Linked DNA regions of Nothobranchius furzeri. The main gene of each other region encodes a partner of the protein of the gene in region 2 in a complex. Links are inferred from orthologs where the notes say so. Each region holds a gene or a part of one and is shown on either strand. Other genes may lie near its edges.

What was found.
Region 1: flcn (region 2) and lamtor3 share a complex: the UniProt entries of both Homo sapiens proteins name them as parts of the lysosomal folliculin complex. The link is inferred for Nothobranchius furzeri from reciprocal best matches to the Homo sapiens genes FLCN and LAMTOR3.

The regions. Positions count from the first base shown.
Region 1 is NC_091758.1:44,827,859-44,831,134, forward strand, and holds lamtor3 (ragulator complex protein LAMTOR3), read right to left. Parts: upstream 2,261-3,276; 5' UTR 2,144-2,260; intron 1,965-2,143; 5' UTR 1,942-1,964; coding exon 1,933-1,941; intron 1,563-1,932; coding exon 1,528-1,562; intron 1,455-1,527; coding exon 1,396-1,454; intron 1,322-1,395; coding exon 1,188-1,321; intron 1,094-1,187; coding exon 1,030-1,093; intron 962-1,029; coding exon 888-961; 3' UTR 723-887; downstream 1-722. Other genes in the region: dapp1 (dual adapter for phosphotyrosine and 3-phosphotyrosine and 3-phosphoinositide), read left to right, coding at 282-305. UniProt on the Homo sapiens protein: As part of the Ragulator complex it is involved in amino acid sensing and activation of mTORC1, a signaling complex promoting cell growth in response to growth factors, energy levels, and amino acids.
Region 2 is NC_091745.1:76,768,458-76,772,378, reverse strand, and holds the start of flcn (folliculin), read left to right. Parts: upstream 1-900; 5' UTR 901-1,107; intron 1,108-1,225; coding exon 1,226-1,432; intron 1,433-1,766; coding exon 1,767-1,913; intron 1,914-1,999; coding exon 2,000-2,221; intron 2,222-2,326; coding exon 2,327-2,493; intron 2,494-2,590; coding exon 2,591-2,682; intron 2,683-3,921. Other genes in the region: leng9 (leukocyte receptor cluster member 9), read right to left, coding at 314-419. UniProt on the Homo sapiens protein: Multi-functional protein, involved in both the cellular response to amino acid availability and in the regulation of glycolysis.

The DNA.
Region 1 (3,276 bases), on a different chromosome or scaffold from region 2:
ACCCTAGTCTGAACTGGATCAGGAGGCCTGCGGCTGCATGTAAGTGAGGGAGCTGGTGGCCTGAGGTCATGACCTCTACAGGAAGTCAGGTGGACATGATCTCAGTCTTGGAGAAAGTAGGTTAGATGAAGATGCACGTCTCTGGATGTGAGTCCAGCTGATCCATTTCCCTCATGTTTCAATTAACCGACGAGTCCAAGGAGCCTTGAAGCTCAGAGGACTTGATACTTCTGAATGTATTTACAGTTTCAACCATTAATCCACCAACTATGTGTTTCCAGTCTCAGGTAAGAAGAGGCCGATGACACTCGTCTGCAGCTTCCTCCTCCAGGTTGTCGTGGAAACGGTGAATGAGAACCATCCGGAACAGGACTCATATTTTAAATGAATTCTGTTCATTCTGAAGATCTTTATGGGTCCATCAGAAGATCAACTGCTTCACCAGTTAGCTGGAAGCTCAGACATGTCAGGGTTCTGATGCTCGCCATGCTGTATGCCAGCAGCAAAGCATTGTGGGTAGAACTGACATGTGAGTGGCTTATTTATATCTCCACATGAGAATGTGAGTTTCCAGAAGCAGGAGAACCAGTTTTATTGTGGAAACACTTTGTTCATGACTGATGAATGTTTAAATTAAAGCCTCTGAAACCATCTGGACTCCGTCTGCTCTGAGGTTCTTATCTGTATTCTTTAGGTTTAACTCTAAATGAACCACTCTGGTGCCCAGAACCCACACATTTATTCAGACTAAAAGCACAGATGGAAACATTTACAGCAACGTGAATGAATCTGGTCCACACTGAACAAGCTGCAGGCAGAATTTCCTACAGAACCCAAACACATCGTGAGGATGGTGGTGAGCAGCAAGTCTTCTGGTGAGTCGGAGACTATGTCACCTCCACCACCTGCCTCAGATCCTCTATTAGAGGAGTCAACTCCTTCTCCAGACTCATGATCAGACCTGAGAACACAGAACAGAACACTGAACCAGACTGAACATCTGTTTGTCTCCATAGAGACAGATGTTACCTGTGTTGGCACCGCTGCTGGCGATCAGGCTGATAACCAGGGGGAGGCGATTGAACTGCACAATCTGATTAAGAAACACGCATCACCATGGAGACTTATGTAAAGGCATGAACATTAATGCATCCCTGTGCCGACGCTCAGAGGAGCTGCTGTGTGACCTGGTAGGAGTTGTAGTAGCAGATGATGCTCTTGTTCTTGGACAGGCCGAGTTTGCTGCCCTGATCTGTGGCCAGAGCGAAGGTGGACAAGAAACCGGGTCTCAGCGCTTGGACGGGGGCGTTGTCATTGGCAACTGTAAAAATGAGAAATGAGGACATGGCCCCCTTACCCGGGCAGGTGAGGAGGACTTTAGCACTGGCTCCTTACCTTTCACAACTGGAACACCGTCTCGGTCCGTCACTACGATGGCATGAAGACCTTCAACACTGGGAGAGTTTAAATGGATCAGTAACAACTACATACGGGTGAAACACTGAGCGTTCCCATGGAAACACCAACCTTTGGAGCTGTTTGTACAGGAATCTCTTCAAATCCTGCAGAGAAACCCACAAAAACTGGATTAAACATTTTATTATAAAAGTAAGACAACAAACCACTCCATCAGTGCTGTGTGAACAAAATGACAACTGGACGCAAAATAATAAAAAGACTGCTGCTTTAAATGTCTGGTTGCTGGTTTAATTCCTATTTCAGCGTCTCAAGACAAAACAAATCAATCTCAGACTCGTGACTCATTTAACTGATTAAAACAGCTTCTAGAGAAATCTGCTTTAAGCTGCATCTGATCAGACCTTAGAAAACACCAAAATGAACCGTCTCCGTTTGCAACATAAACACACCTAGCTTACTTTGTTTAAAAAACTGTAAAAGTTCTTTAAAATTGAGAAAACTGGTCATACTCACGTCTGCCATGACGGTCTGATCTAGTTAAGTCTCTGTGGGCAGAAAACGAATGTTAACAAATAAAACCTCCCACAAAAACCACTAACTCAAAGTCTACACTCAAGTTTAAATAAAACAAGCTAGCATGTCAGCTAATCAACAGAGATGCTGCTTCCGGTACAAACGGCCCGCTAAACAAAACACACATAAGCTATAAAAAATGCACAAATACCGTCTTCAGATGACTTTAAACACCGCTGAGACGCTCTACATGCTAAACAAGAGCTACCAGCTACCAGCTAAGTCACATGACATACGGGGCTTATTTCCGGTTTGTGCGGAAGTGTTTACGGAAGTCTGTGCTGCGTGGTTTTAGCCACGAGAGGGCAGTATTACCCTGCTTTACAACAGGACAAATGTCAAGATACGTTTAGATATTTTTACAACCTGTTCGAAAGTCTGACGTTTTTATATGACGTGATTTTTTTTACCGTTTCATCACTAATAGTATGACTGTTTAGCATATTGTTATGATTGTACGGTTTTTAAATATTTGATCACTCATCACAAGGATCATACAATCTCCCTTTTTTTTTTCGTGACACACACACACACACACACACACACACACACACACACACACACACACACACACACACACACTAGGGATTTTTGTAATAAGTGCGTGTAACAGCATCAAACTACGGTACGTGTGATGAGAATGTTAAAAAACAACAAACTATAACTGGCATGATTTTTCTGCATGTTTCCATGACACACACCTTTCTCTCTTTACTTCGCAGGCAGTGCATCTGGTTTCACCTGAACACAGTACAGCTGACTATCAGGTCATGTTAGGAACGTCTGCGCCGCCTCTGAGCGGTCCCTGTTGGACCGTCTCGATGACAGAAACTGGATGGCAATACATTTCCTCAGGCGCAATGATGACAAGGTCACGCTGTTAGGGACAAATGGCCCTGGGAAAGTTCCTGATGGCGACCTGTCCTCCCTGGCACCCTTTAGGAGGTCTCTCATTACCAACCTGGGAGTTGAGATAGACCCCCTCATGAACTTAGATAGCCAGACAACAGCAGTTGTAAGATCATGCTTTTATCAGCTCAGGCGTTAAAGAAGGATCGAGTGGTACGATGCTGCAATCTTGCACTCAAGCATTCCCTCCCTCGTGAACAAGACCCTGAGATACTTAAACTCCTCCACTTGGGGCAGGACCTCATCCCTGACCCGGAGAAGGCATTCTACCCTTTTCCGACTCAAGACCATGGTCTCAGATTTAGAGGAACTGATGCTCATTCCAGCTGCTTCACACTCGGCTGTGAACCGCTCCAGTGAGAGCCGGAGATCATG
Region 2 (3,921 bases):
CAACAGGAAGTGACTGCAACTTGTGGTGAAGATGGCCAAGTCACTGGAGGCTCACTCAGACAACAGAACCAAATCTGACCAACATGACTGGCAGGTGGGTAGACACAGGGAAGAAAGACGGCGAGAGAGAGAGAAATACAGATTTTTTTATATTTATATACATATAAATATACATATATTGAGAGAGAGAGAGAGAGAGAGAGAGAGAGAGAGAGAGAGAGAGAGAGAGAGAGAGAGAGAGAGAGAGAGAGAGAGAGAGAGAGAGAGAGAATGACAGACATGAGAAAAGACAAACACTAAAACAGGCATTTACCTCTCGTGGCTTGTTGGGCATCTTTCCTACTTTTAGTTTCAGCTGGGGGGGTCCCTCCACCGTCCACTGCGGATTCTGGGGGAACTCCTGATCCGTCTGACGCCATTCCCAGTTCAGAAAGGCTCCTACGTCCCTGTTGGGCTTTGCCTTTTCCTTTACAATGAAACACGGAAGTTACTGATGAGCTAATAAAGTAAACACACATGCTGTAAATTCAACATTATACAATGTTAATTACATTTAAATCACAAATACAAACGTTTTAAGAAATGGTGTTTTATATTTATTAAAAGTACATTACCACACGGTCCTCTGTAGCTCCGTACTTTTTAGCACTCTAGAGAAACGCTGACCAACTCATTCGTAACCTTTACCCTCCTCGAACTTAACTCTGGGTAATGTAGTTTTATGTTGTCTTTCGACGAAACACGCTTCGTAAAGTCAAATGCTAGCAACACATTTTCCCATATGAAAACTATCTGCTCACAGACGACATTATTTTATTTTAAATAAATCATAAAATAGTAATTATGATTAAACTTAATCAACTCCGTGACGTACGTCATGATTTGTGTCCGAGCGCGTGACTCGAGGTCACGTGACTGTGCTGTTTGCTAACAACTCGAGACTGAGACGAGAAAGTGCTGAGAGGATTTATTCTCTTGAATTCGCGCGTTTTATACGAGACATGTAGACGAAATATTTGATTTAGCGTCACGCTTTTGTTGTTTATACATTTTTAACACAAACGAGTGAAGCAGCAGCGAGCTCCAGTCTAACTCTCAGTGCTAAAGGTGAGATCCTCTCGTTGCTGCTGGTTAAAATGGCTTAAACGGGTGTTAGCTTGTGAATAAAAACTATGTCATAAATTACGTTGATTAGATTCTCATAAACGCTTGATCCGTTTCTCAGATGAATGCTCTGGTAGCTTTGTGTCACTTCTGTGAGCTCCATGGCCCTCGGACACTATTCTGTACCGAGGCGCTACACCCTCCATCCCCAGACCCCTCCTCTCAGGTGGGCACCCCGGTTCCAGGGGACAGAGATGCTGATCGGGAGGGTGAAGGTCTGACCATGAGGGCCAGCGGGTCTGTGTCTCAAAGAGGGGAGATGTGTGAGGTGAGTGGGCATGCGTGATGGGATCTCACCCACAGTAAACCTTGGAGAAGGTTCATTCAATTCAGTTTATTTATAGTCACGACAACAGTCGTCTCAAGTCACTTCACATAGTAAACATTTCTATACAAAGGAACTCAGCAGATTGCAGTGCTCACACTAAGCAAGTGTGTAGCGACAGTGGAGTGGAAAACTCCCTTTTAGCCCCAGAAGAGCCAGGCTCAGTATGAGCAGCCACCCGCCACAACTCATTATGGTTTAAGAAGATAGAGCAGCAACATTATTTAATAATCCTGTAATCGAAGTTCTCCTTTTCCCTCCTGTCCATGCCTCACAGGGATGCCGATCTCTACCTGCGTCTCACCCAGGCTTCGTGAGCATCGATGATGAAACAGGAATTCGCTTTGTGAGCCATCAGCACCCCAGACAGTCTCAGCTTTTCAGTGTAGTTCGTCAGGCTTGTGTACGCAGTCTCAGCTGTGAGGTAAACTCTACCTGATCTAACTGAGGAGGACCTTTTCTAACCTCCCCTCCTCCAAAAACGCGAGTCTTTTTGTTGTTGGGTTTCAGGTGTGCCCTGGACGTGAAGGGCCGATCTTTTTCGGTGATGAACAACACGGGTTTGTGTTCTCACACACGTTCTTCATCAAGGACAGCCTGGCCCGTGGGTTTCAGCGCTGGTACAGTATAGTTGTAGTGGCCATGGACAGGATCTACCTCATCAACTCCTGGCCTTTCCTGTTACGACACCTCAAACTCACTATACAAAGTCTGCAAAGCACAGCTCTAAAGGTAGAGCCTAAATGTAGACTGTGCATTCATTTTTTTTTACTGGACAAACACTTTGTCATTTTAATAAGTCAGTTTGTGCTGTTTTGCCATCTTTTTGTCCATCAGGTGTTTGACACTGAACAGGGTATTTGTCCCCAGCGAGCTCTGAGGATGAACAGCGTGTTTTCTCCTGCGGTTTTTCCACATCAAAGAAGTGGCAACGCAGCCCGATCGCTAACTTCTCTCACTCAGCATCCCAATCTCTGGGCCAGCCTGCATTGCTCCTTCAGCTGGTGAGTTGAGATAGACTTTTAATAGCCAGCCATTGTGATTTCTCCACGTTACTTTTATGACTTACCAAGCTGATGTGTGTTTTCACTTCCTTTTTAGGTTACTGAAAGCCTGTGGTTGTCGTCTGACAGAAAAGCTCCTTGAAGGAGCCCCAACAGAGGACACGCTGGTTCTTCTTGAGAGAAAAACAGGTAGAAAGACATGATTTCATCAGACATTCACTGCTATGGCTAGTGTTTTTGTTTGTTCAACTAGTCAGCCTGAAATCCGTAAGAGTGAATCACAGAGTCGATCGGGAAAGGCATTTGATCCAGGAAAACATGACACACCACTTCACAGTTAAACCCCGGTTTGTCGAGATTTAGAAAGTGATTAAAAGACTTTTGGAGAATTTTTGGGGCTCGGCCCAGACACGACTGTGGAATGAACTTTGTTCATTGATAAAAAATAAAAATAAATGTCCAAACAAAAACCTTTTTTTTACATGATTCTAAATCATTTAATGGAAATGATCAATGTTTTCTTCAAAAACCACAGAGCAGCTTTGCAGTAGTCACAGCCTGGCAGCCCACAGACATTCCTGGGTGTCTCCTTCTAGCAGATTATCTAATGCGACCCCCCCCCCCCCCCCCCCCCATATACCCTATGGGCCAGCTGTTCCCAGATCAGCGCAACAGGGTTCTGGCACGCAGCAGAAAGAAACATGATATTTTCAAGTGATCTCAAATATTTGTCTGGTAATGTAGATGATAGCTAGCCTGGCCGGCCAGACTCGTCCTCTGTTTAATTCTGCACAAAGAGTCTGGTAACTCACAGGCGGAGAGGCACTTGAGGGGCGGGACTAGACAGCTCAAAAATAACCAATGAGAAAAAAGACGTACATGCCGACTGTACCATGCAACGCTGTAGTTAAAAAATGGCGTCTAGCAACGGCGCAGACATCTATTATTCTTTTAAAGTCAAAGTTAAAGTCCCATTAGTTGTCACACACACAGGTATGTGTGTGACATTTATTCTCCGCATTTGACCCATCCCCTGGGGGAGCGGTGAGCTGCAGACACAGCCGCGCTCGGGAACTATTTGGTGGTTTAAGCCCCCAATCCAACCCCTTAATGCTGAGTGTCAAGCAGGGAGGCATTGGGTCCCAATTTTTCAGTCTTTGGTATGACCCGACCAGGAGTTGAACCCCTGATCTCCCAGTCTCAGGACACTCTACCACTAGGCCACTGAGAAAGGGTAGAAGAAAGGCTTTTAGCACTTCTGCTTGTTGTGGTTCTAAAGACATTCAAGTAATTTAGAACAGAGGAAAGAGCCGCAGCGAACTCCACTTCAGGCGCCATGTTTACGACAAACTCGGCGTTATGGTGTGTGACGTACAATGCTCAGCGCTGATTGGCTCGGTTAGATTCCTCATGGTTATTTGATTAGGG